Linked DNA regions of Nothobranchius furzeri. The protein of the gene in region 1 binds, or shares a complex with, the protein of each later gene. Links are inferred from orthologs where the notes say so. Each region holds a gene or a part of one and is shown on either strand. Other genes may lie near its edges. The genes, in order: usp39, lsm4, lsm6, smx5, lsm7, sart1 and snrpd3l.

Region 1 (2,794 bases):
TCTTGACAATATTTGTGAGTAAAAAAAACGTGTAGAAACAAAAACGTACGTGTGTTATTAGGGAAATAGCGGGCGAGCGGCATTGATGCAGGATTGCACATGCGCCGTGAGCGGTTCTGATCCATTTTGTGTCGCAGCTGCTCGCAGCGCCGCTTCAACAGTGCGATACCCTCACGAGGGACGAGCAAAATATTAAACACGCCAGAAGTCCGTGCGAGCTCACGATTGCTGATCGGTAGCTGGTCACATGGTGTTAATCGCCTCTCGTAACCCCCCGTACACTACACGATGCTCGGCGCAAAACTCGCCCCGATCTTGTGGATTCTCACACGAGTGGAAAATTGGCTCAAAAAAGTGAAAAAGTCGCACAGTGTATGCCCGGCTTTAGTGATGCTTCCTCTCTGATTGTGCTGCTGCTCTTCCGGCAGCTGGTGAAGAAGATCAAATACAAATAAAACCTAATTTAAAGGTTGTGTTGTTAAGCTTTCATTTACAAAGACTTTTGTCCTCAAGGTGGTTTATTTAGAAAACTCCACAAGGTGAAAAGATAAAACCACAAAAAAAGAACTTCTGCATTTCAAGGCTTTGTGTCGCTTTAAACAAAGTTCTGTTGCACTTCAGATCATTTAAAGATTTGAGTTGATTTCCAGAGTTGTGATGAAACGAAACGCCACCCAGGATGGGAAATACATTGCAGCACTTACTCCGCCGTGTGGCTGTTTGTGTCACTGCTCTCCTGTCTCTTCCAAATCTGGCAAGAAAAGGGCAACAATTAAAAAAAACACTAAGAAAATCCTTTTTAAATTATAATACCAAATAACAGCTTTTTAGGAAGTACGTACACACTAGAAGCAACTGAGTAGATGGTTTTAATCAATAACTAGATTATTTTTCCTCAGTAACAGGTTGGATAGTCAGTTATGTGGTTTGAAGCTTTATTTTATTTTAATTATATTCTGTGTAAAGTTTGTGATGATTGCACTCAGTCTACAATGTCATTGTCAATTATTTCCATTATGCTCTTTTCTCAGAATTTGACAAAACCTTTAAGCAAAGCTGAGAAAGAGAAGATTTGTGTTGTTTTCCTTTGTAAAAAACAAAACTATAGTTAGTTAAAACAACTGTCTGATGCCATACATTTAGAATTTAGAGCCAACAATGAGGCTTTTGTTTTGAAAATCCCAATACTTTGTTAAGCCTTTAACTAATTAAATTCAGGAAGTAAACAAACAGCAGATTCTTCAGATTGTAGTCAAATGTTTTCATTAAAGGAAAAAAGTAAATTCTTCGAACTCGCAGGTAAATACTAAGACTTATAGGGTAGACTTACTTGGATGTAAGCCTCTGACAGCGTGATCATCTGGGGAAGAATGTCGATGACCTGCAGGTCCTGCATCTCGTACCACTTCCCTGTCCCCTGGTCAAACAAAGCATTCAGTTATTCTGCCGTAGATCACTAAAACACAACTGAAAGCTTTTGTTACAGACAGAAAACTCATCAGAAACTCAGGCCACATTCTTTCATTACTTTGTGGCCCTGTGGCAGCCTCGCCTCGGTCAGTGCGCCCCAGGGCAGCTGTGGCTAAATCGTAGCTCATCACCATCAGTGTGTGAATGTGTGTGTGAATGGATGAATGATACACTGTAAAGAGCTTTGGAGTCCTTAATCTGAGAGGCGCTATACAAGTGCGGGTCATTTATCATTCTGAAATCTACTGTGACTCAGAGAACAGGACACAGATGCTACGTTGATCCCAGTGCACATGAAAAACTGGTCAGCTGTAGCTTACATGATGCAGGACATGTATCCTGTATGATCCCTCTGTGGGTTTCCCATCATGCACCACATTTGCAACAAGGTCATAAGTCGTATTCTTCTCTGTAGCTTGAGCTTCTTCTGTCAGATACTCAGAAAGGTCCACGTTCCTGTTGAAGCAAACAGCAAAGTTCAAAATACATTTAAACGTGTAGTTTAGCCTAAAATAATAAACAGCAGATGTAAGCTGAACTTTATAAATGTGTTTAAGCAAAAGTCTGAGTTAGGGATGGGCGATGTGGCCTAAAATCCATATCACGGCACATTGAGAAGTTAGCCTTGATAACTATAAATGGACCATAACTACATGTATGCACAAAACCAGAAGTTGTCCACTAGATGGGGCTGTTACGTGTATTACTTTGAGTCATGTTGTCATGTGATTCAAGGTGGTTCAGCTTCTTAAAAGGACTTGATTGTCTCCAACCTACACACATCTTTCCATCTTTATTACCAAATTTACTGACATGGAAACAATGATATCGGTTAGAGTTAGAAATTTCGATAACGATAAGTGTTCGATTTACTGCCCTAGTCTGAGTAAACAAAAACAACTTACGTGATCGGGAAATTGACAATTGTTGGATTTTTTTCCACAAAGAAATTGTTCTTGGTGAATCTTTTGATGCAAAAGATGAGGTACGGTGGCAGTTTGGTCAACTGGAATCTTTTGAGGAAATTCTCTTTGTAGGTTTTGTATTCCTGCAAACAGCATCACATGCACATGTGCATTAGTTCCATTTTATTTCCTGTTGAATAACATTAATGCACTTCAATACTTGAGTTGAAGAATTTACAGGCTGGTCTTCCTTTATGTTATTAATTCAGCATCAGTCAGTAAAGGGGTTAGTACCTTTTCTGTGGTGCCACTGAACTTGCCCAGGATGTTAAATAGAGGGACCTGTGGGATGATAAGTTGTTCCTTCTCATCCTTGTACAGAGGAGCTGTTGGGAGGTCAAGGGTCAGAAACAGGAAGG
Region 2 (4,129 bases), on another chromosome or scaffold:
ATGCCGTCTTATAAAGGTTTAAACAGAAATATTCAGGAAGTGAGTCCTGTTGGCTGTCGCTCTACTGCTTCACCAGCTGTGGTTATAAAGAAAATCTTTCAGATAACAAAGCTGGAAGTAAACTACAGAAATGAGGAAAAAGCCAGTTAAAATATCTACTAAACTAAATTTGGGCCTCGACTTTTCTACACCAATAAAAAGGATTTAAAAAAATCAAACTAAAGTATTATCTGGCAACAATCGGTTGTTGTAAACATCACAACAGAGAGAAACAGCAGAGTTGATGTCATTGTTACTGAGGCAGACGTCCCTCAACAGGAAGTGTTTAAAACAAACGAAGCATCATTGTGTGTCAGTGCTGGTTTTTCATCCCCTGTGGTTTTCCTGCTTTCTTATCCTGCTGCTGCTGCTGTCCTCGACCAGGCCCAGACATCCCTCTCCCACGACCACCAAACACACCTACAGGAACAGCTGTGTTCAGTCCAACAAATCAATTCTACATGAGTTCAAAACCAACCTGATCAAACGGCATCCTTCACCTCGGCCGGGCCCTCCTCTTCCTTTGCCCTGTTGTTTATTCTGCTGAGAGCCGCCGCGACCTCGTCCTTTCGACACCACCTCCTCCCTCACCATGTCAATGATCTCATCTGGGATACGCAGATATTTGATGGTGCTTCCTCGGATGTAGCACTCAGGCATCCTCCAGAATTTATCTCCATCCTGTAAAAAGATGGTGAGAGTTTCTGTTTAAATTAAATTCCTCAATTAATAACACTTCTATTTTGCATTTATGTTAATTTACCTAAAGTCTAGCACAATAAACCCGACTGAGGGGATAATAGGCAAATGATCATGTTTAGTTGTGATCACCCATCTTTCTTTTGTTTACATGTACAAAAACACCACAAAGCTGCACAATTTAAAAATTATTACAGTCACTGATGGTCCAGTTAGCGCACTGTGTCTGTTCTTACAGTCACTATGAATCAATCATTGTATCTCAGCTGTTGTCTGAAGCTGTTCTGATAGTTTCAGTGCAGGATTCTGCAGACTTCTCAGTTCACATAGGCAGGCTGTCCTTCACAACACAGTTGTGCAAATATACTGTACATACAAATGTCTCATGAGAGACCAAATATGAAAGCACATTAAGCAAATTAAAATATTTTGGTATTTTCCCTTTGTCAAAAGGTCACATTTTATTAAAGGGAGAAGCATGTTTCACCCTGGATGTGCAGATGACTTCTCTCAGGTTGATGTTCATCCAGTTGTCACAGCTGACCAGGTGACCGTTGTAGGTCTCTCCATTCTTCAGCTCCACCAGCTAATAAAGAGCACACTGCTTTATAAGCTAAAAATCATACAATGAGCAAGTTCTAATAACAGATCAGACAAACTAAACTAAAGTCAAGAACAAAAAATTAGCTCTAATCATTAGCTAATTAGAGTGTGACTCTTTGAGGCTAGAATATGAACCTTTTCACAATATTCTAGTTGTCTGATATTTTGAATGTGGGGTTTTGATAAGCTGTAAGGCAAAATCATAACAAATATAACAGATAAAGGCCGAAACATCTGGCTTTGCATGTAATGAGTCCATCTCATACATTAGTTTCACTTTTTAGTTCAATCACTGAAATAAACGACCTTTTGCACCATACTGTATTTTTTTTAAGTTTCACTTGTAATTTACTAAAGCAGGTTATTATTTACATAGAGAACAGATGCTTCTTCACATAACTAATGACACAGCCTAAAGGATACAATATTGTAAAGAATATCAGACTTAAAATCAAGGTTTTGCCTCACCATGGGATGATTCTGAGCGGTCTTTAAGAGTGACAGGGGAAGCTGAAAATAAAACACCAGATTGAAATCTAATTTAACAGAATAGACCTCATTTACAGCATTATTTCTGACGCATAATAAACCGCATGAAACCAAGAATCCAGAGTCTACTGGAGAGCAACCACCCGATCAGAGGCTCTTCACCACCAACATCAACAGTTTTACCTTCAGACAGGAGGCACACACTTTCCCACAGCCACCAGACTTCTGAACAGCTGAGCTCCTGACGCTTAATTTCTACTTGGTACATTAACATTTCAGTCTGATTATTAACCTGTTTACTTTGTACCTTTATCTGATACTGGGATTATAATCCGCCTTTAACTAACTGATACACGTTCCAGCTAATGTGGGACATTACTTGCACAAATGTGTGCAACAACTCTGCATAGTTTCTTTGCAGTTCATATTTTGATTAATTTACTGTATTTTGCATGCTTCTTTAACTTTTTAAAATCTAGTTTTTACACCCAAACGTATACATTTGGCATCCAGTGTGAGGAACAAGGTAATTTTTGCTGTTCTTATGAGAATATAGAGTAATTCACCCCGAACCCATAAAACTACAGAATTAAATCAGGTCATTTAAACACGTTTATAACACAACAACACTTCTGAAGTTGTGGTAGGTCTACTGGCTCCTGAATAAAGCTAAATGTTACGGTTTATTTTAGCTACATGCTTAGCATCTTAAAGCTTTCACTTCGGTATAATTTATTAAAAATGTTAACACGGTTTCCGTCAGCCGAACCAAAGATGACCTATTAAAGAATACATTCTCAACTACCCACAACTAGAGGTTAGATACTCACCATTATGACGGTTTATAGCTTGTTTTACGCGGCGAACCTAAGGCTGTGGCGAATGGTCGAATCCAGCTTTCTTCTTCTTCTGGCGGTCGAATCCAGCCTGGGGAAAGGATTTCCTTTTAGCCTTCTGCGTTTTCTTATTCTACTACAAACGGCGGCTTCACCACAGCACACTGCCCCCTAGCGTCGAAACCTGCACTTTCTCTCCGCGCGTTTTATTTTGTGGCCACACTGAGACCACTGTTTAAACTTAAAAGTGTCTGAATAGATCATTTTCTTAATTATGAGAACAAACAAGAGTCTTCCGAAGGAGTAGTTTGAAACCAGCAGAAAATATAAACAGTGCTAAAGTTTCATTGGTAAGTCACTTTGATCAGAAAAGCTTTTTTACAGTAATTTATAACACATAATTATGAACACACTCCATATTTTAATCAGTTAGAACGTGATGAGAATAAATGAGCTCAATAAGTAAAAAATTTTTTGTTGATACTTCATAATTTATTTATTGGTGAAGATATTATGTGATGCTGTTAATTGTATAGGCCTGACCGCAGTAAAAGGCTGCAGCAGTCTTACTAAAGCCATAGCTTTCATAAAAATTATATCAAATTATTTGTCTTCAAGAGTGAATTTTGCATAAAAAGACAAACATCTTCAAATGGGAGGACATGGCCATTGCAAAGTGGTAAATTTTGAAATTGCCCCATTATACTAAATGTTAAGAGTAATAAACCATTAGAGGTGTCAGTTAAAGATTAAATGCACCATAACGTCTATAACTAACAATGCACATTCTTGGCAGGTTGTCCTGCACAGATCCTTGGTGCTATATTTTGTTAATGTTGTAAAGTTTATAATCTGAGTTATTTGTGCACTTGTAAAGAATGAGTCGTTTCCATCTTACTTATGAACCATAAAATGTGAGATTCCATAGAAATATGAAATATCAATCTGATGGATCTTTGACTACATTTTTTTTTCAAAAAGTATATTTTATTAAATTTTCTGTGTACACCTTTTACACAGTATTATGTTGTATATTGAAAGTACATTCTGTATAAAATCATCAGGGAACAACAGAACAGTAGAACAATATAACAATTTTGGTTGTGCTTCGGCTTTTGGCGATCCTCTCCAACGTAAGAGCATATATAGTACTGAAGGCAATATGCACATAGACATGTTTAACAAAACTGTGAGCAAGAAGTCCCCGAATTACACCTCGCTTTTGCTTCTCCCATTCCAGTCTTAATGCTGGTCAGAAGACCGAGTATTTTCCTATACTCTCCCACTTTATAAGTCCTCAGATTTTTATGTCCATCTTCTTAATATATGTTAGAAAAGGTGTCCATATTTTGTCAAATAAGTGTTGCTTGGCTTTTAAGATATAAGTAATCCATTCCAGCGGCATTACCTGTAACATCTGTTTCATCCAGTTCTTCACATTGGGTCTATGGAGAGATTTCCAT
Region 3 (3,990 bases), on another chromosome or scaffold:
CGAAGTTGGTTACTCGTTAGAATAATTAAAAGAATTATTTGTTTTCATACACTTTATTCATAGACTTCTTCACAACTACAAAAAAGTTTTCCATTGGTTCAATAGTTTTTGTGATGTTAACAAATGTTTGTTATAATAAGAAAATATTTCACCAGGCACATGTTTATGTTTATGTTTATGTATTTAGCAGACGCTTTTGTCCAAAGCGACTTACAAGTGATGTGTTTATAAGAATGAAAAGATGTCTTTTTTAAGTGCACATCATAGACTGTACATACTGTGCACATTTTCCCATTTCCCCAAGATTCACTGATTTCCCTCTTTCCTGTTCACTCTCTCTCTCTCTCTCTCTCTCTCTCTCTCTCTCTCTCTCTCTCTCTCTCTCTCTCTCTCTCTCTCTCTCTCTCTCTCTCTCTGTCTCCCCCTCTCCCTCCCTCTCTCTCTCTCTCTCTCTCTCTCTGTCTCCCCCTCTCCCTCTCCCTCTCTCTCTCTCTGTCTCCCTCTCTCTCTCTCTCTCTCTCTCTCTTTCTTTCTCTCTCTCTCTTTGCCTTTTTAATCACAATTGTCTATTTTTGCTTATTTTGAACATATTTTAAATCATTTTTTGAAACCTTTTTTATATTTTATATTTTTGTGAAGTGCCTTGAGATTTTTGTCTTGAGAGGAGCTACAGAAAAGATTGTTTTCTTTCTTTCTTTCTTTCTTTCTTTCTTTCTTTCTTTCTTTCTTTCTTTCTTTCTTTCTTTCTTTCTTTTAAACGTTTGAACACTTACAGATCAAGAAGAAAGAAAATGTACCTGAAATTGGAATAGGCTTATTTGTGCATATCCCACATTACATTGAGATAAATTTTGAATTTGTAAAAAGAATAGTAAAATAATACAATGAGACATTCACATGAAATATTATGTTTTTACATATTTACAGTAGTTTCTCATTTTCTGTATGAATTTGTTACATAATAGAAATATTACTAATGCTTCAGTTTATTCAAAGTATAACAATGCACAACAAAACAAAAAAACTTTAGTATATTATAATATGAAAGCCAGTGGATATAATATTAATTACAACATATTAGAAATACATTTATAGAAAATAACTTGTTAAAGGAAATGGGTATATCGTATTTTTAAAATGTACTTTTAAATATTCTTGTTTTGTCTATCGAATTAAAACTTTGCGCTTTCAGGACATTTGTCCCTACATAGTTTCCGTAGTCCTCCAATGTGATTGGTCAATGCGCCGAACATAAAATCGTTGTGAGATCGTTCATCCAGTGAGTAACTTGCTAGCTCGGTGTTCGCATCTGTAAAACTAGTAAAACATCTATTTCCTATCTTATTAGGATCTGTTATGATGTAACAATACCTGTACATTGTACTTTATTGTTAAACAATCTCCTACGCTATTAGAGGCTAACGAACTGACCCACGGAATAGCTGGTAGTTAGCACTTAGCTCGCTAGCTACATAGAAGCTCATTTGATAATTTGAACGTTTTAACCGTACATAGTTTTGCATTTAGGCGTGTACTATCTGGCTACAGCTATTCGTTTTAATATTCTCGGGTTTGAATAATGCCTTTGTTACTAGATAATCAATTATAGCTTAAATGTGTATTAGGGTAATGCTAATGCGGTTCTTTATTGTGATAAAATGAGATTTACTCATCTGTTTTATTCTTTTAGATAAAAGCGAAAATGAGTTTGAGAAAGCAGACCCCGAGTGACTTTCTGAAGCAGATAATTGGGAGACCTGTCGTGGTCAAACTGAACTCTGGTGTTGATTACAGAGGTAATGCAGCTGGCATCAGGTGTGGGAATGTTTAGGGTTCTCAGAGTTTGATTAGGTTATGAATCAGAGGGTTTGTTAAGCAGTCATTGATGCATCTTTTTACGCCTTCTGCCTCATGTTTAGTTCTAGACAATGACCCCCTGACAACTACTTTTAATTTTTAATGATCTTTTAATTCATTACAGTTAAGTTCTTTATACAGGCAGACAGGAAGTTGAATGATGTAATCCCATATAGGATTAGAAACTATGAAACAAACACTAACTGAAAAACAGTTAAATTACTGCAGTTAAACTCCAGTTAAATGCTGAGTAATTGGAATAAACTTGAAAAGTTTCGTGAGGACCAAATTTTGCTTTAATCTTCAACAAACTATTTGTGTTTGTGTTGATATTAATTCATTTACCAAGCTAAAGAGAGATTCACACAGGTTACACAGATACATGGAGGAGGAACACTTTTTGACACAACACTCCTACTCAGACATCTTTGTTACAGTTTAAAATGTTCAGTTTTTCAGTATTTGATGTATTTATTTCTTCAGTCAAGACTCAAACTCCATCCCAGTTGCACACCATAATGTGCCACACTTCTGCACTTCAGATGTCTGCCTTTTACACTCACCTAAATAATGATCATTATTAAAATCTGTTTTGATAATTTTTGAATGAATTTGTAATGGTTTATGTTTGCATCAAAATGCATAAAAAACAGTATGCCCCTCTTCCCTAGCTGGCACGTTCAGGTCTGTTGTTGTTTTATTGCCCAGGTAAGTTTATTTTTAATCTGAAGTTTGTGTTTGTCTCTGAGCAGGTGTTTTGGCCTGTCTGGATGGTTACATGAACATCGCAATAGAGCAGACGGAGGAGTATGTCAATGGACAACTCAAAAACAAGTATGGAGATGCCTTTTTGAGAGGAAATAATGGTAAGATTTGATGTTTTCACGCTGCAGGGCGTTATACAACACCGTTTTCCTCTGTTACTATAGCTCCAAGTCATATTTAATGATTAAACATTCCAGGTTATGAAGGCTGTACATTTGCCATGATCTGAGTCTTTGGTGCAGTCAACTTCCTAGCCTCATTCTTATTAGCTCACAGAGACAACATTATTACACTGTGTGCTCTAATAGATCTTTCAGTTGTTTAGGTTTTTTTTTTCAATCCAAAGTGATTAGAGATTTAAATTTGTTGACAATTTTTAAATGAAACTTTCAAAGTCATGCACCACAAGATGTTTATTTTCATTTTCTCATTAAGCATTTTTGCACCTCAAACCTATCTTTATAGGAAAACCACAAGATATTCCCTTTTAAAGTTGGGAAACTAACCATGTCGGAGTTATACAGGAAGCTCACTTCCGATGAAAACATCGAGCCCCTTTGTTGCTGCTTTGAAAAAACTGGTAAAATGCTACTATTTTACAGCATCGTTTGTTAATTAATTCATTATGTTACATTAGAAATGTACTGATTTAGCTTCTGATGGCAGAAACTGATTTGTGTTGCCTCAAAGTGATACTAATTTTGGGTGATTTTTAAATATAATATGCTGTTTGAATTTAAATATTAAATAGAATATTTTGGAAGTGTAAACTTCTACATTAATAGGGTTAATAAGTAGGGTTAGGGAATATTTTGATACCTGTGTGATTTTTGTGGTGCCTCTCTAGACTGAGCAGATACAGCTGCGACTGACTACTAGGGATGCACCGATGGATCGGCATTTGATCCCAACTGGCCGATAGCGCCCCTATCGGTTTTGATCGGAGTTTTCAAAATGGATCAAAGCAGACCGATCAGGTAGGGTTGTCACGGTAACCGGTGTAGCAGTAAACCCCGGTAAAATAAAAAAAAGTTGACAATAATAATAACCGTCCGTTTTTAAAAAAACTATATTATCTCGGTGGTTTACCGTGGCTGCGGTGTAGGCGCGGTGACCCTTACCAGCCACCGTATCATCTGTTGAAGTTGCCAGCGGCACATGCGCACTTTGTTGTTTACAACCAAAACTTTCTTGAAGCTAAAGCTGAAATAATGGCCAAAGGAGGAAACGGCAGCGCGCAGGACATTTATTATACCTCAAAGAAAACAAAGTGGGAAGTACGGGCATTTTTTGAATATTTGAAGAATGCCGAGGGACAGTTTATAGAAGACGGCTATCCTGTTTGCAGCACGTGCAGAAAAAGTGTCT
Region 4 (4,210 bases), on another chromosome or scaffold:
CAATAACAGGCAAGGAGAAAGACAGCTGCAGGTATCCACAAGGTCTGTTCTGTTCCGTTTACATTGGCTACGGGGGTTTCAAAGGAAATGATGTACGTCTATCTGAACGTGACTTACTTAGAACGTTTTGGGATGTTTGACACCGCCTCTGTGTTCGGCTTCCTGTCCGGCCGGTTTGATGGTTTTGGAAGGGTAGCACATAAACAAATAGCGTAACGATGGCGTACACTTTTGCCACTTACACACTAGCCGCCGGTAGAAAGGAACCTATTCGCTATAACGGTGGCTAATTTCAGCGAGGTAAGTTTAGCGTCCATTTCATGACGCTTTCACGTTCGGTGGAAAGCTCATTCAGTCTAACCCTTGTGGTAAAGGTGAGTCCTCGGAACGTCCGAGTAAACGTATTAACTAAAAGCATCTTTGCTGCAGAGAGTGTTAATAAAACACAACCGTTTGTGGGCTACAAATCCACAGGTTTGTGAGTTAATCTAGACTATTTAAAAATCACTTTTCCTTGAGTTTTTATGACTTCAGGTAAAAATAAAACTAGTTTGTCAAGATTTGATACATTTTTAAGGAGATACCCATGAGCAAGCCAAGTTGTGAGTAAGTATGGTTGAAATAAATTTCTAGTTAAAAACCCATTTACTTTCAGTTGTAGGGCTGAGATTTTTTAAATGTGGATATAATTTCAAACAAGAAACCTGATGACTCAATATCTTTACATCAATATAAATATAAAAACAGTGAATTTCTAGCATTAGCAGGTGCAGCTATTGCTATCCACTAGCTTGTTCTGTCTCTATGCGATCATTACATGTATTCTCACGTGTCTGCTCGATCAGGAAACCTCTAGGTCAATTTTCTGCCCTAAACTTTGCATTTGGATTAGTGGTTTTTAATTATTTGGGGACATTTGTTCGTGTTTTAGTGAGCCTTTTCACTACGGATGTGTATTGGTGAAATTGTGGCGATACGATACGTATCACGATACAGGGAAGACGATACGATATATCACGATATATTGCGATACATTCAGCCAGACGATATCAGCGATTTTTTAGACTGAATTTATTGTAGAAAATTTCAATAAACAGTCCAAACTGATACTTAACATGTTAAACATGAGGTATCTGAACCATAATAGAGGGATTTATATTTCAGTGGTGGAAACAAAACCCAATGCACACTGCTGCTAGCTAGCGGTCAGTGTTTGAATTGCACCAAAAGAAAAGAAAATACACAAATGTTTGCATGTAAACTATTCCAAAAAGTTCAACACATGGCTTTTGGATATCAATATAATATTGCAGGAAAAAACATCACGATATATTGCCATATCGATATTGTCTTACATCGCTACTTTTCACCGTGGCTGCTGACGGAGATTTATTTATCCTGCTGGTGCTGAGAGACGGGTCAAACCAGCGGCATAAATATCTAAACCTACATGTGTGTTAGCATACAGCTGTACAAGTGTTTCTACAGCTCAAACTGATAGAGAATGGCACTTAGGTTGATGTTTGACAAGAATCTGATTAAATTGTGCATTTAATCTGCTGATGAATTTATGATTACACTTTCTGTAGACAGCTTGAAGGGAGTTAACTTGCAAATATTTACAGAAGAAAAAATATGGAGGTATAATATTGTAAAATTGGAATTCTGCAAAAGGACACTGACAAATAAGTTTTCATCCAGCCCTATTAAGTTGTATTTTTATTTTCTGAGGACTAGAGGTAAGGCTTTAGTACTCGACCTGAAAACAAAACAAAAATCTGTCGCATCTTTGGTTTAAGTGAATAATCACACCTTTTTACCAATTAGAGGGCTGAGTTTGTGTTTGTTAACCCTGCTGTGAATGTGGAAAACACTCGTAGTGAGATTAGCCTCAGATTTCTACAGACATCTGAAGCAACGTGACCTTAGGACCGATGTGTCTCAAGTATGCTACTTACCATGTGTGGATATTTCTCTGGATCCGTCACACTGATGTCTGTCAACTTTATGTTCAGGTACTAAAAACCAAAAAGAGTAGGAATGTAAATGTCAAAAAACTGCAGAAGTTTGTCTGAAAGAGTTTCAAAAAGTGTATTTTCAATACCTGGTCAACAGAATGAAGCGTTCCGCAGATGCTGAAAACAGATGTGTGGATAAATATTCAAGAAAACAAACATTTGGACACTTTTGAATAGGCTACATGGCTCGTTTAGCTCGGTTGCCTTAATTTCCGAGTCAGACTCGTGTAGAAACGTCGCAGTACTAATAAGCTACAAGTCCATTGGAATATACAAAGAAATAGCTCAAGCTTTAGCAGAAGTTCATTCAAAGCTTCGCGTTTAGAGACCACTTGTTTCCAACGTGGTGCTACAGTGGGTCGAATTGCTAGCGTTCTTTCCTGCAAATGAACAACAGCTTCAACGATTTATCACAGCAGTGGAGGCCAAGCCGTAAAACACTAACCTCAGATCGTTCTTGAGCTCCACCACTACGTCCTTCCCAACCAGAGACTTGAAAAACGAGTAGAAAAGCTGCGGAGCACAACGACATGCTAACGTTAGCGTGTAGCTGCACGCTACACGTCGAGCACGACAGTTTATGAACAAAGAGAGAATGGAAACACTAACAGTTACACAAAGACTAAGGTAACGACTTATTTAACTGTCATGTGTTTGGTGTCATGCTAAATACATTTTGAATATTGAACGAGGTTAGCTCACCATTTTTGCGGTAGCTTTGTTCAGTAGTCGCGTCCGCTTTTGATGACGTATCAGGGAGCGCTGCAAATACAGACAACTACCACCAGGGGGAGCCAGAGGTCTTCAACATATTCAGCTTGAATCGTATCCATTTCTTTGACATGTTTTGCTCATAATTAATCAACATTGTGTTTTTTTACACACTTAAGTGTGATTACAGCATCTAATTTGCCTCTGAAAAATTAAATCTGCCTTAATATCACTTTGCGTAACAAACCCTAATAGTCCACGTCCCTACACACACACACACACACACACACACACACACAGAGAGAGAGAGAGAGAGAGAGAGAGAGATATGTTAAAATAAAGAAAATCTCACTCTGAGACTTTTAAAGAAGTCGGCAGCCCTGGTAAATAGGATAAACCTATGTGTGCCTTACCTACGTATGAAATATATGTAAATGGCCCTATTTTGCCCAGCTGTGTGCAGCAGGTATGTTTTTCTTCTAGAATAATGAAAACTGGTGAAAAATAGGTCTAAATCCTAATCAGCGTTGATTTAAATTGTGATTAGATGACACACATTTAAACAGATGATGACAGATGTGCTCAAACTTGTAAACAGCCTTAACCCATTAAAGCAAGGACATAAGATAGTCTAATAATTAGGTGATAAGATAAACCCAGCAGAGAAAAGAAGTCAGTCTAACAGTGGGATAAAATGCAACAAGATTTATGACAAGCTCACATTTGGCGTTTGTCTGCTTCTTTTATTAAAATAAATAAATGAATAAAAAACGGAAACTGGTATGGTGCAAAACAGGACAGAATGGTTGGTATAGAGATGAGTTCCCTTGTTTTATCTATTTGTTTCTACTTCAATGTTTTACCCCCTTTGCACTATTTTAATTGCTTTTATTTTCTATTTATTCATTGTGATTTATGTTTCTTATGTACTGTGTACAGCACCTTGGGCTCCCTGACAAGGTCGCGGAAGGCACTTTATAAACAAAGCTTTGAGTTGAATTGAATTCACATTTTCTTCAAAAAACTCAAGGTCCGGCTGTAAACATAAAAACTCTGCAGCAAGGGAAGACGGTTTCCTCTTATATGAAAAAGCCAGTCGTAGGAGAATTGATCCCTGGTGGGTACCACATAATTCAGTCGGTGCCTTAAAAAGTACCACATCTGGAATCCATCCCTACTCCTTATACTGGTCACCCTGGTGTGGGAAGGCTTCCAGTCTCAAACCAGTCATCCATGCTGATTGCCTTGGTCCCTCAGGTTCAAGCAGGTATAGTCCCATCAGTGTCTCTGCTCTCCAGTCCCATCTGTCGGTGGTCTCTGATGAACTGGTTTTGGCCCAGACTGTGTGCAGAATCTCACCATGATCTTTCTAGAGGAGTTCACTGGTTCTCAAAATTTCTGCTAGCGCTTTGAAACCTATTTTTTATTTAAAATAAGGTCAAACCAGGGCTGAAAGTTTAACGATTAAATATGTTTTATTT
Region 5 (4,095 bases), on another chromosome or scaffold:
CACTATTCTAACCTACTTTTAGGAGGTTTCACATCCAGTTAAGTAAAAATTTTGCCATTTTAAAAAACAGCTTCAGTTATCTCACTTAAAACTCATCAGCATTTTGTTTCTGCGTTTCTCCAACGCCAAAATCTACTGAAGATCCTTTCTTTCAAAAGGAACAATCCATAGATATCATTACTTTACACCCCCACCCCAGCTTAATGCATTACTGACTTAAAAGCTGTTAATGCCACATATGTGTCTTTGTGAGTGTGCAGACAAGCTTGAACGGTTTATCTTCAAACACAGAAACTCCCTTTAAACCTAAACACACTCATCTTTTTTTTTACTGCAGAGTTCAGTAGTCTGTAGACCCATCGAGTCAGTCACAACCAGCAGGTAGGGGACGTCTGTCGGGTCAACAAAACCACTCAGATCCTTGTCACCCTTTCGAATAGACCATATCTGGTGTAACTTTCCAACACGTCCTCTGTGTTCAAAGGAGAAAAACATTCAGATTCAGCTTTTTTTCCACTTTATTTTCTTATCAAAAACAAAGAATAGTAAAAAGTTCACTCAGATAACAAGAAATTTGTTTTAACACTTTCAGAACTGGGAGCTCCTCACAACACAAAAATGAGCAAAATTAGCAGGGAAATAAAACTGAAGTGCAACGGAGCCTTATTTTACCAGTGATGAACTTAAAACATGTTTGTCGTCTGAATGACAAGTGTCCTGTAATGTTAAAAAAGAAAAGTCTAATCAAAAGTGTGCCACGCAGCAGCATGGGGGTTATCCATCTTGCTGCTGGATGAATGGGTTAGGAATGGCCTCCATGCCATCCTGAGGACAGATCAGCACCACAGAGGTTCCTCTGCAGACCACCAGCCCCAGCTGTCGGGTGTCTTCTGTCAGCTTCAGCTGGTCGTCTGGATCTGCACACAAAGCCACAGAACGTTCACACTGGAAATGTCAAGCAGCTGGGTGTCCACCAAGCATTTTACCGGAATGCACTCAAAACTAAAACATGAATGGTGAGACCTTTGATTTTTTTGTTTTGACCATCTTCAGTTCAGATGTATTTTTCAAAGATGTTAAGTCCACACAAGACGACCACTTGTAACAGCGATAAAAAACCAACAACATTTGATTTGTTATCACTGTTAAAAATCTGCTTCGACCACTAAAGAACAAACCTCAAACTGAAAAAAGCCACTCATCTTTTGTTTGGGGATTTTTAAATCAATTTAATTTCCCCCCACATGTTTCTGGTTTTTGTTCCACCCGAGTGGCCTCCATGACTCCTCTGAATATTAGCTCAACCCTCCCCTCCAAACACTAAACTGAGAATTAGAAACTTGAGCATTTTTCCAGTGTTTGTTCAAACTAGCATCACATTTTCAACAAATCCACAGTGATGGTAGAGGAGATAGGTGGAGTAACCTTACAGGGTAAGAGCACAAAAAACACAACCAGCTACTTACCTTTACCTGGAAACAACACACTGTTCCAGTAGAGAGGTGTCTACACAATGTTTTCTGTTTGTTTGTACAAAAAGAAAACAATTCCACAGATGCTTTTACACACAGACTTTCTTAATTTTATGAAACTGAAAAATTAATCTTACATACAAGGGCGTGATTTGAAAATTTGGAAACCTTTTTTCAATTTGAAGCCCAGAAAATCTCTCGGATTATTTGATGTTTTAGAATGAATTATTTAGAGCCTGTGAATTTTCTTCTTTTAAACATAGCAGCAACATGTTTTTGTCTACATGTAATTATATGTAATGTTCGTCCACTGAAGATAATCTAAAATTATGTTGCTTTTATTGTCAAACAAGATTAGCACGCACGCACGCACACACACACGTATTCCTGATAATTTACTGAAAAACAAATTAACTCAAAAAAGTGAAGTAGAAAAATGTCTCTTAAACATGCTCTGAACATGAACATAATGTTTTGATCAACATGCTTATTTTCACTAACTGTAGATCGTTTTAAAGATGACGGTAGGGGCGAAATTAATGCGAATTATTACTTTATAGTTATGTGTGTTGGGGAACTTCGGAATGTGTTCAGGAAAAGTCCTTCATCGATATAAACATGGACTCAGACTGAGGAGCAGTTTTCTGGCTGGATTTGAGTTTTGGTTTTCTTACCACGCATGTATTCGATCGTGCCGTCCAGCACCAGGTTCAACAGAGGATCAAATCCTTTCAAAACGCCGCTTGCTGAGAAGAAAACACAAATTTTAGGCTTCCACATAAGGAAATCTAGACATTTACTGCTTGCACGAAATGAAAGGGTTAGCAACAGCTTGGTCCACCCACCCTCTCGTCCACCTTGAAACTTCACCCGAATCGTCTTGTCGATATACTTGGACAAGTCGAAGATGCTCTCCTTCTTTTTCTTTTCTTTATCCTGCAGAAAGGCCAGGTTACATTGTCTTAAGTCACTAATTAATCACAAACAAAACGTAGCCTTAGCTTAGCTCACTACTAGCCACGTTATTTAAGTAAAACGTCTACCGTCACAGCAAAATAAAAGTTGTTCAAGTCGACTTTTGTTCAGAAAACAAAGCTAAATCTTAACAATACAAATGTGGATGTGAAAAGATAAAAAGTAACACAATATAATGAAAGCCATGGATTACGAACTCACCGCCATATTTACTGTCTGACCCGGAAGTAAATCTTAGACCCTAGGAAATGATAGTGATCCAATGAGATAACGCGTTCAGAGGGTTCAGAGAGGTCCAGCTGTAGACCATAAAAAGTAAAATGAAACAATATTGATTTTTGTAAAAGTCTCGGGACTACCATCTCTACTAAAACGTAATGAGTTAAATACACACTCATGTGATTGTCTTAATACGCTGTCAGGCTGGGAAAAACGTTCATCTTTCTCAGCTGCATTGTGCGTTAGCTAATAGCTACAGGCTACAATCTCAGAAGAAATCTACGCCCTCCAGTGGGGATAAACTGCAACTACAATCAGGTTCTAAGAAGCTAGAAGGGAACGTTCTAGTCTCATGGCAATGAAACTGGGGGGGGGGGGGGGGGGGGATCATAATCTGTATTTTTGTTTCTTTTGGTTGATGGAGATGGAGAAGAGAAAACTGCCTGTAAATTCTTTCTAAATAAAACGCTATAACACTTTTGTTATCAGCGAGTGGGAAACTCGCTCTAACAGCCTTTTTCGTTTATTATTTAGCTAAATTCACAATCAAAACAGTATGTAACAGTGTTAAAAACTATGCTAATACTGAGTTCACAACTAAAGACAGTTGGGGTTGCCGATCAGCTTGTATGTTTTTGGTCTGCTGGAGGAGCATGTACCCAGAGCAAACCCACACATGCATGGAGAGAATGAAAGGCCGTAGCCAAGGTTTAAACCTATGACATTGTTCCTGTGAGTCACCAGTGCTTCCAACTGCCCCACAATGAAACCCTTTTTAAAATAAAATGTATACAGATGAAACTCAAAAAATTTGAACATGGTTCAAAAGTTTATTGATTTCAGTATAAAAACCTAAAAGGTGAAACAAATTCATGAGATAAACTCATTCTATGCAAAACCAGATATTTCCATCATTTATTTGTTATAAGTGTGATGATTATGGCTTACAGCTTACGAAAACATCTAAAACTAAATATCTCAGACAAACAGAACGTGCGAGAAGGTTCAATACTCTAGACTCAAAGTGTCGCACTCTAACCAGCTAATTAATCAAAAACATCTGCAAAGGGTTCCCGAGCCTTTAGATGGTCTCTCAGTCTAAGATGGATTATTGAAATAAGTGAACTTTTGCACCATATTCTAATTTTTTGAGTTTCAGTATTGTTATTGGGAAAAAAATCAATAACCAATAAAGGCTCTCAGCATGGAGCTTGCTCCAGTCATTGACATGAACAAGCCAGCACACTGAATTAGCTTGGTCATGACCCACACATGACTACTATTAATAAACCCTGACTGTGTACCAGTTGGTGGGTTGCAAACCACAAGTAGGTCAAGATATTTTGGTGAGGCTGTTTGCAATGACACCGCCTGCAGAGGGGACTTCTACGTGAGCTACAACAAAACAGACATGGATGAATCTGTTTTA
Region 6 (4,247 bases), on another chromosome or scaffold:
TTTAAATTATTGTTCTTTTAGGAAATTCACAAGACAAATGAAATAGTTTACACCTGTACTGATTTTCTTATACTATTGTTATATCAACACTGAAGCAAGACCATAAACTAGCAATAATCTCAAAAGAGCTACAACAATAATCATTTTCCCCTACATATTTATTTAGTGATGGTGTTTGCATTCATGCTCTTCCCACTGCCACTGAGGACGATGTACGGCGTTTTCTGAGATTTCTGTTTCTCTTGAAGCAAAGCCACCGTCCCCAGAGGTGTATCGCTGCTGCTCATCTTCTTCAGCAGCGCTTCCTCCTCCAGCTTTTTCATCCTCCTTTCAGTTTTCATCTTTCCAGAACCTTTGCCGTGGAAACGATGCGAAAGCTGCCTGAATGCCTCTTTTGGGGTGAGTCTGCGCCCAGACTCATCCACATACTCAATTTTGACGTCGGGTTTATATCCATCCTTTTCCTTGAAATCCTGCGTGAAGCCTCTGTATTCTTCCCGGCGACTGTACTTATCATCAAAGCCCATCTTGTCCTCGATGCAGTAGTTGTCATTAGGCAGGGACCCCTTTGTTGCTTTGACACGAGCCACCTTTTGCATTTGCGTGTCCAGCAGCCCTTTATTTTTGCACAGCAGTAAAGCAGCAGCAAGGCCAGAGTTCACGATGGGTTCCTCATCCAGGATAGTGGCAGAGGCTGTGGAAAATTCAGCATGATTTTGCTCCTCATCCAGGTTAACTGTGCTCCACCCAATATTTTCATCCATTTCGGAGTCTGAATCTCCAGCATCATCTTTCTCTTCTTCCTGTTCAAAGTCCATGATATCCTCCTGGTCTTCCCTGTTTCCAGACAGTCCATACGTTGGAATATCACCCAGAGTTCTGCAGAACTCAGAGGTGGCATTGAAGACAATGTTATTCCTCTTGTCAGGATCATTTTCGTCACCGCCTTTAACAAACCGTCTGATCTGCTCTGCCACCTTCTCCCCGGAGTCTTTGAGAAGCTGCTTCTGCCTCAGCTTCCTCTGTTTCTCCAGTTGTTTCTGCAGCTCCTGCTCTGCCTCATCCTCCTCAATTACAGCTGGCTCAGGAGGCGTGAAGTTTTCTTCATCACTCATTTCCATTTCTGCCGTCCTGATGTCATCAGACATTTGGGGGATTTCATGTGGCCAACGCTCGCCCTTGCCTGTATTCTCCTCTTCGTTGTCCTGTTTGCGGCCCCGACCTCGTGCTCGGGAGCCAAAGTCAGAGCTGCGAGTGTCATCAAGGAGCTCATCTGCAATTGTCTGCTTCTCCTTCTTCCTGATTTTCTTCACACGGCGTTTTGTCTTTTTAAAGCCAACCATTTCCTGAGGCGTGTAATACTCCGAAGCGATAGCAAGAGCAGGCATTTCCAAAGACTGGGCCTGGTTTTGCAGCGTTTCTTTCATAGCCTGCAGCTCCCGTTCTCGCTCCCCATCAGCAAATCCCCATGTGCTCAAACGAAAGCTCTTTTTCTTTTCACCTTCAATTTCTTCATCGTATTTTGAAAGTACAGTGCGGGGCTTAAAGGTGACCATGTCATCCACACTCTCCTCTTCTTCGTAGGGCTTGTAGTCAGGCTTTTTCTTTTTCAACTCCACATTCTTTTCTGCTTTTTCCTTGTCCACCAGTCCCACGTTCACAAGCACATCCTCCTCTTCTTCCAGGACACCTTTGTCTTGCAGGGTCAGAATGACAGTGTGGCCCTCCTTGAAGGAATCAACCTTGTGCTGCACTTTGAGGCCTTTGAGATCCCGTGAAGAATAAGAATCCAATTTACTTTGAGCAAACTCCTCTTCAACCAGATTGCTGACACCAAACTCCTCATCCATCTCTTCCAGAAGTTTGGCTCTTTTCTCTGCCATTTCTTTCTCTTGTGCCAGCTTTCTGCTTCTTTCAATCCAAGCGGCTGTGTCATCGAGCCAATCATCATCTGCAAGGTTTTTGACTTTGCCCAGTTTCTGATTGAGGAGACGTTTTTCTTTCATAGCTGCAAGCTTCTCCCTCATCTCTTTCTGCTGCTGGATGAGAACAGGGTTGATGGTCTCAGCCACCAGTGGCTCCTCTTTGGTTCCAAGTTCTTTCTTGTTCTCATTGAGTTCCAGAGGCTTTAAACCCAGCTTGGCTCGGAGTTTGTTCGTTTCCTCGACGCTGAGGGAAGCATCTCCACTTGCACTCTGAGGCTGTATTTCTGCACTGCCTTCCTCATAGCCAGGATCCAATTTCTCCCTCTTTATACGAGTCTCGCCACTGCTTTTTTCCCCTTTGCTGCGACTATCCCGTCTGCTCCTTTCCCTGGACCTGGAGCGTTTTCGTTTTTCTCGAGTTCCATCCCGATCTGAGGCATCTCTGTCTCTCTCTCGTTCTTTGTGCCGATGCTTCTTATGTTCACGACGGCGCTCTTCTGCGTCCTTATCGCGACTCTTTTCCTTGTGTTTCTTTGAAGAACCCATGATTTCGTCCGCTGTTTACAACTCCAGAGTCGTAGTTCCGTCACAGTCAAGCTGCGTACGCAGTCTCTTCAGCTGTATTGATGTGGTAAATGTCGCGAACTTTTCTCCCAACTAGGTCGAGTTAGCTTCAAAAGCTAAAGGGTTAGCCACGTCAAAACTCACTCATTTCGGGGAAAACTGCATCATATTTTCGATATCCAGCATCGGTGGAAAATACGTGGAGTTTCGTTGGTTTGTTTATTTGTAGCACCTCGCACCAGCATAAATACTAACAACCACGTTTTAAGTTTGCTACTTCGACGAAACGAACATACAACGACAACGAATTCGTTTCCGGAAGTCAAGTGGTAGAAAAAACTTTGCTCGCCCTGGTTGTATATCGCCCCCTGCTGGCTGGGGCTTTAACAACCGGACATTAACTGACAAACAAACGCTTTTAAATGTTTTAGGAAAATTGTTTGATACTTTACAAAAAGTACACGAAGTGCAACACAGCGATTTACTATCTCCTCTATTTTGGCGCAGTTCCTTTACTTTAGCTTGTTAGCTTAGCAAAGGTTGCAGCCTGCAACCTGCTGTATTTAGCAAGCCGTGATAGCATTTAATGAAGCAAAACATTTCCATTCACTTAAAATTTTAGATAAAGTTATAATAATTCCCATTATCAAAATGTATTTCTTACTTATCGTAACTGAAATAATATCTAGAAGTGCATTCTGATCAGTAAAAACACATTTTAATACTGTAATTGATATTTCAATTGGAAACCCCCAGGTTTAGAGTATTTAAAAATGCTTTTGATTCCAAACGGTCATTTGAACATTTAATGGCTGGGATGTTTATCACTTTCAGATATACATCAAAATTAATTCTTCTCAGACAAAGAGAAAAAGTCAGATGTCTAGCAATGGTTTCTGTCTACCAACAACAGCATTAAGGATTTTTTCAAATTACATTTTTCTACTTCAGCTTTTGCATTTATCTGTATTGAGCTCCAGATATCAAAAAGGGCATTGTGCTAATGTATTTGGCAGATGCTTTTGTCCAAAACGATCTATAAACAAGGATGTAACAGTACTTGCATCTGATTCTAACGATAAACTGATTAGAGGAAAGAACACTAGGCTCCGACAGAGGAGTATGCGAAAATAGTGTAGAAATGAATCAGAGTGCAACATAGATGGAAGTGCACAAAGAGATGCAGTGGAATAGAGGAAGGGATGGGTGGATCCTAGGGTAGGAGTAGGTGTAACATTATGGATATCATATCAGTTCACATGTTAATTTCACTCATTTTTATACATACTACATTTTAAATTTTACTTGAATCTGTTATGCTTTGGCTGCATGTTGGCACAGTGGTAGTGCTGTTGCCTTGCTGTATTTCAATAAATAAAGTTTGAATCAAATGCTATTTCATCAAGTTCTTAATAGATATTTTAATTATCTTTCAAAATATTTGTAATTGCATTTGTTGCGAGTTTCTCAATAGATCTATACACGAGTTTACCACTATTCTTTATTTTGTGTATTAAAAAAACCTTTGAATATGTCACCTAGGATAATAGATACGTGAATTGCGTGTTTCCCTCAGTAAGAATCGTCAGATCATGCCAGGATAAGAAAGAATAGAAGAAATTGTTACCTGGATGGCTGAAATGTCTTTTAGCACGAAACCCCCCACGATGGATTGAGCCCAAGTAATAAATGACAAATCGGCTTGCTTGTAACAGCATCGTGCTGCTTCTGTTAGCCATTTGGGTCCAGGCAGTTAGC
Region 7 (4,005 bases), on another chromosome or scaffold:
ACTAGGATAAATATGCAGTAAAATGCTTTTCCGTGGGTAAATGTACAAATTTTACTTGCTAAAAGGTTACAATACACAATATAAATGAAAGAGGTGGGACTCAAAATTGAATAATACTACAAAAAAAGGGCTTCAATGGGGCAAAGCACAGCAAAGGTTCAGTCAAGAAGAGCAACACTGAGCTGAAATCTGTTTATTTCATACAAAATAAAAACAGTGATAAATTGTAGAGCAAAAGACTGCAAAGTAAACCAAAGCATAGTAAATCCAAAAGATGACATCAAACAATGAAATTTAAAACAAAATAAGTTATCGTCTCTTCTGGAAAATGTTGCCTCTCCCCATTCCACCACGACCTCGTCCTCTTGCAGCCACTGTTAAAAGTAAAAATAAAAAGTCAAACTCCAAAAAAAGGTATCTCTTTGGTCTGGAAGAAATGCCCCCCCACAAATCCCTATTTTCCCTACTCAAATATTTTGACTATGTTGGACTTCTACAAGAGAAGAAATTAGACAATACCATTAAACATTCCTTTGAAAAAGCCTTTTTTTCCCTTTATATTAGATAAAAAAGAATTGGGATCTGTCTTTCAAACCATTCCACCTCAGAAAATGTGAGAAGTGTCCACATAGAACACTGTTGTTACCTGTAAAAAAAAGTAATTAACAACTATTTAAGAGCCAAGCAGCTAAAGAGGGAACTAAACTCTAGCGCTGTCTCAGCATCTGGAGAAATTGTCCAAATGCTTCTCACTCACCTTGTGCTTTAAGAATAGCTGCCTTTCCTCTTCCTGCCCCAGAGCCTTGGTTCTTGTTCTTCATACTCTTTAACATCGGAGCATTCTTTAACATGTCCGGTAGGATCAAAAAGCGGATCTTGCTGCCGCGAATGTAGACCTGTTCCAACTGTGCAACCCGGCCATCGCGGTAGGTCACGGTGATGTTGGACATCTGTAGGGACAAATTCAAGTTTAGGTCCACAACAGGTGAAATGACCGTGTGAGCATCCATTAATCCAGTTCTGTTACTTATCTGGATCTTGGTGCACACAGGTTACCAAACTAGCATGGCTCAAATGTAAATTAACATTTCAGTTTATTCAACCCTTATAAAAATGTGTGCTGAAATAGAATCCAATTGAAGAGTGATGTTACTTTAGACTGTTTATTAAATTATGATGCAACAACAGAGTTAAATAACTGACTGAACTGGGTAAATCATGAAAGCTAAAGACCAACTTAAAATGAAAACCCAACATAAAAGCCTTTCTGATAAGAATGCTTTAATGAAACACTTTTACAAAAAAATAAAACTCTTCACACCAAGCATCCATGTACACCATTGTTTGGCCAAACGTTTTGCAATTTAGGGGAACACTAATCCCAAACACAAATTAGTTTACCAGTAATTACACAAACAAAAGCTTTTATGACTACATACCCCACAAAAAATCCACATTAACAGAACACCTTAAATGCCAAATTTACTGACCCAAGTTATTGTGAGTGCACAAAATAAAAATTAAATATTTTTTTTAATTTAACCCATTAAAAAGCTGCAAGAAAGGCAATTTGCAAGAGAAATAAAAACAAAATTTATTCAGGCAGCAGATGGGATTGAAACAAGCACTGACTGGATGTTTATGATCAACAGTATTTTGAAGGCTTTTCATTGACACTTTTCTTGACAATTAAAAATCACTGGAACCCTTTTAAACCATACTGCTAAACAAACCAACCTGGCAGTTCATATTGTCCTCTGCTTCTATCAGCTTGCCCCTGTACACCTCTCCAGTGTTGGTCTCACAGGTCACAATGTGACCCTCTGCCTCATGCAGGACCTTGATTGGTACACCGATGGACATGTTTCAAAGCTTTTCCTGGAACACAACACACAAAGCAAAAGATTATACGTGCTCACCCACAGAAATGTCTGCTCTTAAATATTGGCAACCCAAATCCATTTAACTTTATTGGTTAGCCGGGTTGCCCAGTTTCCAGCACTGAAATCTACAATCTGCATTACAACTAGTAGGAGAAGCAACAGAATAAGGCGAGTGAACTTTTTCATGACTGTGGATTAATACTAGTCACTGAAATTAAGACAAATAAGGAAAGACGCCCTGGGAAAACAGGTTTTGTGCAAAAAGCCATAACAAAAGAAGTGTTGTGAACCCGAACGCTACATTAATTGAAACTTTCATGTGGGACATAGTATTTAGACTTAACTAAAATGAAGGTGTTTTTATTATTTAGCATGAATTTACGCAGTAATACACTTTATAACATTACTAGAGAATAAACGATTTCGCTTGGGTATTCTCTTTTTTTAAGAGTCTGGTGGAGAATGTTTGATAGCATTCTAACCGCTAGCTCAGTTAGCCATACTAGCTAGCAAGGCTACAGGACAAATTTATCTAGAAACTACCATTAAACAATTCCAAACAGTAAATATGATTGGCCGTAAATGCTATTTACAGTTTACTACGATTAATAAGCATAGTTAAATACCTAAATATTTTACAGTAACATACGGAGTTTTGAAAATGCGCGTAACCTTAGCCATGCTACACATGAACGAAATAAATCGAAATTTCTAAATAACGAAAACCAATAGAAGAATGAGAACTCCGTTTCCTCAAACTAATTAATGTTACTCCTGTAACTTACCTTGACTTGTTCGTAAGAGTTATTTGCTTTATTGTTATTTCTTCTTGAACTGCAACGTGCGTTTGACGCTTTCGGGATCCTTTTGAGCCTTTTTTTCCGCCTGCAACGAAGGGTCACAACGAGTGTTTCCGGTGGCACCTACCGCGATGCATTGTGGGACACGTAGTTCAATAACGCCCATGGTTGAGGACTATTGAGTATGTACAGTCTATGGGACTATTATTTAGTGAAACTGACAAACTCAGCTTCTTATGTAGAATTATTTTTTTTATAAAGACTGAAACACATAAAATTAAATAAAATAAAAACTAAAATTATAAGAAACTATTTACATTTTAATCACGTTTCCTTAATTTATAATCTGTTTTTTACTTGTATTTGTTTTTAATTTTTTATGCTTGAGAAGCACCTCGCGATTTTTATCTTGGGGGCGCTATATAAAAGATTGTTTCATTCTTTCTTCTATAAATGTTGAGTTATGATGGAAATGAAAATTGATTTTCATTCTCCACAAGTAGAACATTGCATTTCTAAGAGGACTGAATATGTGTTTACGTACATCTGACTAAAGTTTAATGAATAAACTTGATTTCCATGATTTTGAAGGAAATCAGCTGTTGACTACATTTTCTGCATCGTCTAATGACGATGGGCAATTTATGCAGCTACACCAGACACTGAACTGTATTGTTTTAAAAAGCAAATGTTGATCCAGTAGCAGGATTGATTTGCATTTTCTTTCAGAAAAATAGAACAGTTTTGCATTACTTGTCATCTTGGCTCCAAGTTGACATTTACAGCTTTACATGGCTTTTCATAAAGCAGCTCAGTGTTAGGTACTTTTTAAATTCCCATGGAACATTGATCCATCATTGAATCACCCACAACAGTATTTTTATGATCTGTATCTCATGCAAATCAAAACAGCATTAGACATAAAAACAAAACATTAAAATGAACTAATTTTATCTATTTTTACAACACTGAGTATGGCCACAGTGTACTGCACAAATGATATGCAAAGAACTAGAATAAACATAAAGTACACATAATATACATACCCGTGTATGTTTGTTCCAGGAGATGTGTCTCGGGGATTGCTACGGGACACATAAAAGTGGCCTAATGCAGGTCTGTCCCACATTGAAAGAGCTTTTTAATGGGGAAAGAGAAGGCATAATGGGATAATAAAAGACATCATCAAATGAATCTTCATTTGATTTCCATTGCATTTGGCTCATTGACTGGCGTCAGCAGCCATGGCTGATCTGTAAACACCTTTCAGTGAGTAGTTTGTGGTTGGGCACTTTACGTGTGTGTGTGTGTGTGTGTGTGTG

The links.
Region 2: usp39 (region 1) and lsm4 share a complex: the UniProt entries of both Homo sapiens proteins name them as parts of the U4/U6-U5 tri-snRNP complex. The link is inferred for Nothobranchius furzeri from reciprocal best matches to the Homo sapiens genes USP39 and LSM4.
Region 3: usp39 (region 1) and lsm6 share a complex: the UniProt entries of both Homo sapiens proteins name them as parts of the U4/U6-U5 tri-snRNP complex. The link is inferred for Nothobranchius furzeri from reciprocal best matches to the Homo sapiens genes USP39 and LSM6.
Region 4: usp39 (region 1) and smx5 share a complex: the UniProt entries of both Homo sapiens proteins name them as parts of the U4/U6-U5 tri-snRNP complex. The link is inferred for Nothobranchius furzeri from reciprocal best matches to the Homo sapiens genes USP39 and LSM2.
Region 5: usp39 (region 1) and lsm7 share a complex: the UniProt entries of both Homo sapiens proteins name them as parts of the U4/U6-U5 tri-snRNP complex. The link is inferred for Nothobranchius furzeri from reciprocal best matches to the Homo sapiens genes USP39 and LSM7.
Region 6: usp39 (region 1) and sart1 share a complex: the UniProt entries of both Homo sapiens proteins name them as parts of the U4/U6-U5 tri-snRNP complex. The link is inferred for Nothobranchius furzeri from reciprocal best matches to the Homo sapiens genes USP39 and SART1.
Region 7: usp39 (region 1) and snrpd3l share a complex: the UniProt entries of both Homo sapiens proteins name them as parts of the U4/U6-U5 tri-snRNP complex. The link is inferred for Nothobranchius furzeri from reciprocal best matches to the Homo sapiens genes USP39 and SNRPD3.

The regions. Positions count from the first base shown.
Region 1 is NC_091757.1:46,431,441-46,434,234, forward strand, and holds the end of usp39 (ubiquitin carboxyl-terminal hydrolase 39), read right to left. Parts: coding exon 2,670-2,794; intron 2,519-2,669; coding exon 2,376-2,518; intron 1,927-2,375; coding exon 1,791-1,926; intron 1,418-1,790; coding exon 1,331-1,417; intron 752-1,330; coding exon 701-751; 3' UTR 501-700; downstream 1-500.
Region 2 is NC_091748.1:65,762,208-65,766,336, forward strand, and holds the start of lsm4 (U6 snRNA-associated Sm-like protein LSm4), read right to left. Parts: upstream 2,801-4,129; 5' UTR 2,664-2,800; coding exon 2,661-2,663; intron 1,852-2,660; coding exon 1,810-1,851; intron 1,325-1,809; coding exon 1,226-1,324; intron 721-1,225; coding exon 540-720; intron 460-539; coding exon 353-459; 3' UTR 1-352. UniProt on the Homo sapiens protein: Plays a role in pre-mRNA splicing as component of the U4/U6-U5 tri-snRNP complex that is involved in spliceosome assembly, and as component of the precatalytic spliceosome (spliceosome B complex).
Region 3 is NC_091744.1:10,586,904-10,590,893, reverse strand, and holds the start of lsm6 (U6 snRNA-associated Sm-like protein LSm6), read left to right. Parts: upstream 1-1,190; 5' UTR 1,191-1,279; exon of another isoform or gene 1,280-1,320; intron 1,321-1,340; exon of another isoform or gene 1,341-1,445; intron 1,446-1,690; 5' UTR 1,691-1,702; coding exon 1,703-1,796; intron 1,797-2,609; coding exon 2,610-2,723; intron 2,724-3,087; exon of another isoform or gene 3,088-3,202; intron 3,203-3,990. UniProt on the Homo sapiens protein: Plays a role in pre-mRNA splicing as component of the U4/U6-U5 tri-snRNP complex that is involved in spliceosome assembly, and as component of the precatalytic spliceosome (spliceosome B complex).
Region 4 is NC_091756.1:60,995,362-60,999,571, reverse strand, and holds the start of smx5 (smx5), read right to left. Parts: upstream 2,801-4,210; 5' UTR 2,724-2,800; coding exon 2,721-2,723; intron 2,532-2,720; coding exon 2,464-2,531; intron 2,136-2,463; coding exon 2,105-2,135; intron 2,019-2,104; coding exon 1,959-2,018; intron 1-1,958. UniProt on the Homo sapiens protein: Plays a role in pre-mRNA splicing as component of the U4/U6-U5 tri-snRNP complex that is involved in spliceosome assembly, and as component of the precatalytic spliceosome (spliceosome B complex).
Region 5 is NC_091748.1:58,320,411-58,324,505, forward strand, and holds lsm7 (U6 snRNA-associated Sm-like protein LSm7), read right to left. Parts: upstream 2,759-4,095; 5' UTR 2,655-2,758; coding exon 2,649-2,654; intron 2,409-2,648; coding exon 2,318-2,408; intron 2,219-2,317; coding exon 2,147-2,218; intron 918-2,146; coding exon 775-917; 3' UTR 501-774; downstream 1-500. Other genes in the region: kelch-like protein 23, read left to right, coding at 4,078-4,095. UniProt on the Homo sapiens protein: Plays a role in pre-mRNA splicing as component of the U4/U6-U5 tri-snRNP complex that is involved in spliceosome assembly, and as component of the precatalytic spliceosome (spliceosome B complex).
Region 6 is NC_091744.1:19,554,456-19,558,702, reverse strand, and holds the start of sart1 (U4/U6.U5 tri-snRNP-associated protein 1), read right to left. Parts: upstream 2,801-4,247; 5' UTR 2,472-2,800; coding exon 159-2,471; 3' UTR 1-158. UniProt on the Homo sapiens protein: Plays a role in mRNA splicing as a component of the U4/U6-U5 tri-snRNP, one of the building blocks of the spliceosome. May also bind to DNA.
Region 7 is NC_091746.1:48,714,974-48,718,978, reverse strand, and holds snrpd3l (small nuclear ribonucleoprotein D3 polypeptide, like), read right to left. Parts: upstream 2,801-4,005; 5' UTR 2,669-2,800; intron 1,879-2,668; 5' UTR 1,864-1,878; coding exon 1,738-1,863; intron 951-1,737; coding exon 758-950; intron 375-757; coding exon 310-374; 3' UTR 179-309; downstream 1-178. UniProt on the Homo sapiens protein: Plays a role in pre-mRNA splicing as a core component of the spliceosomal U1, U2, U4 and U5 small nuclear ribonucleoproteins (snRNPs), the building blocks of the spliceosome.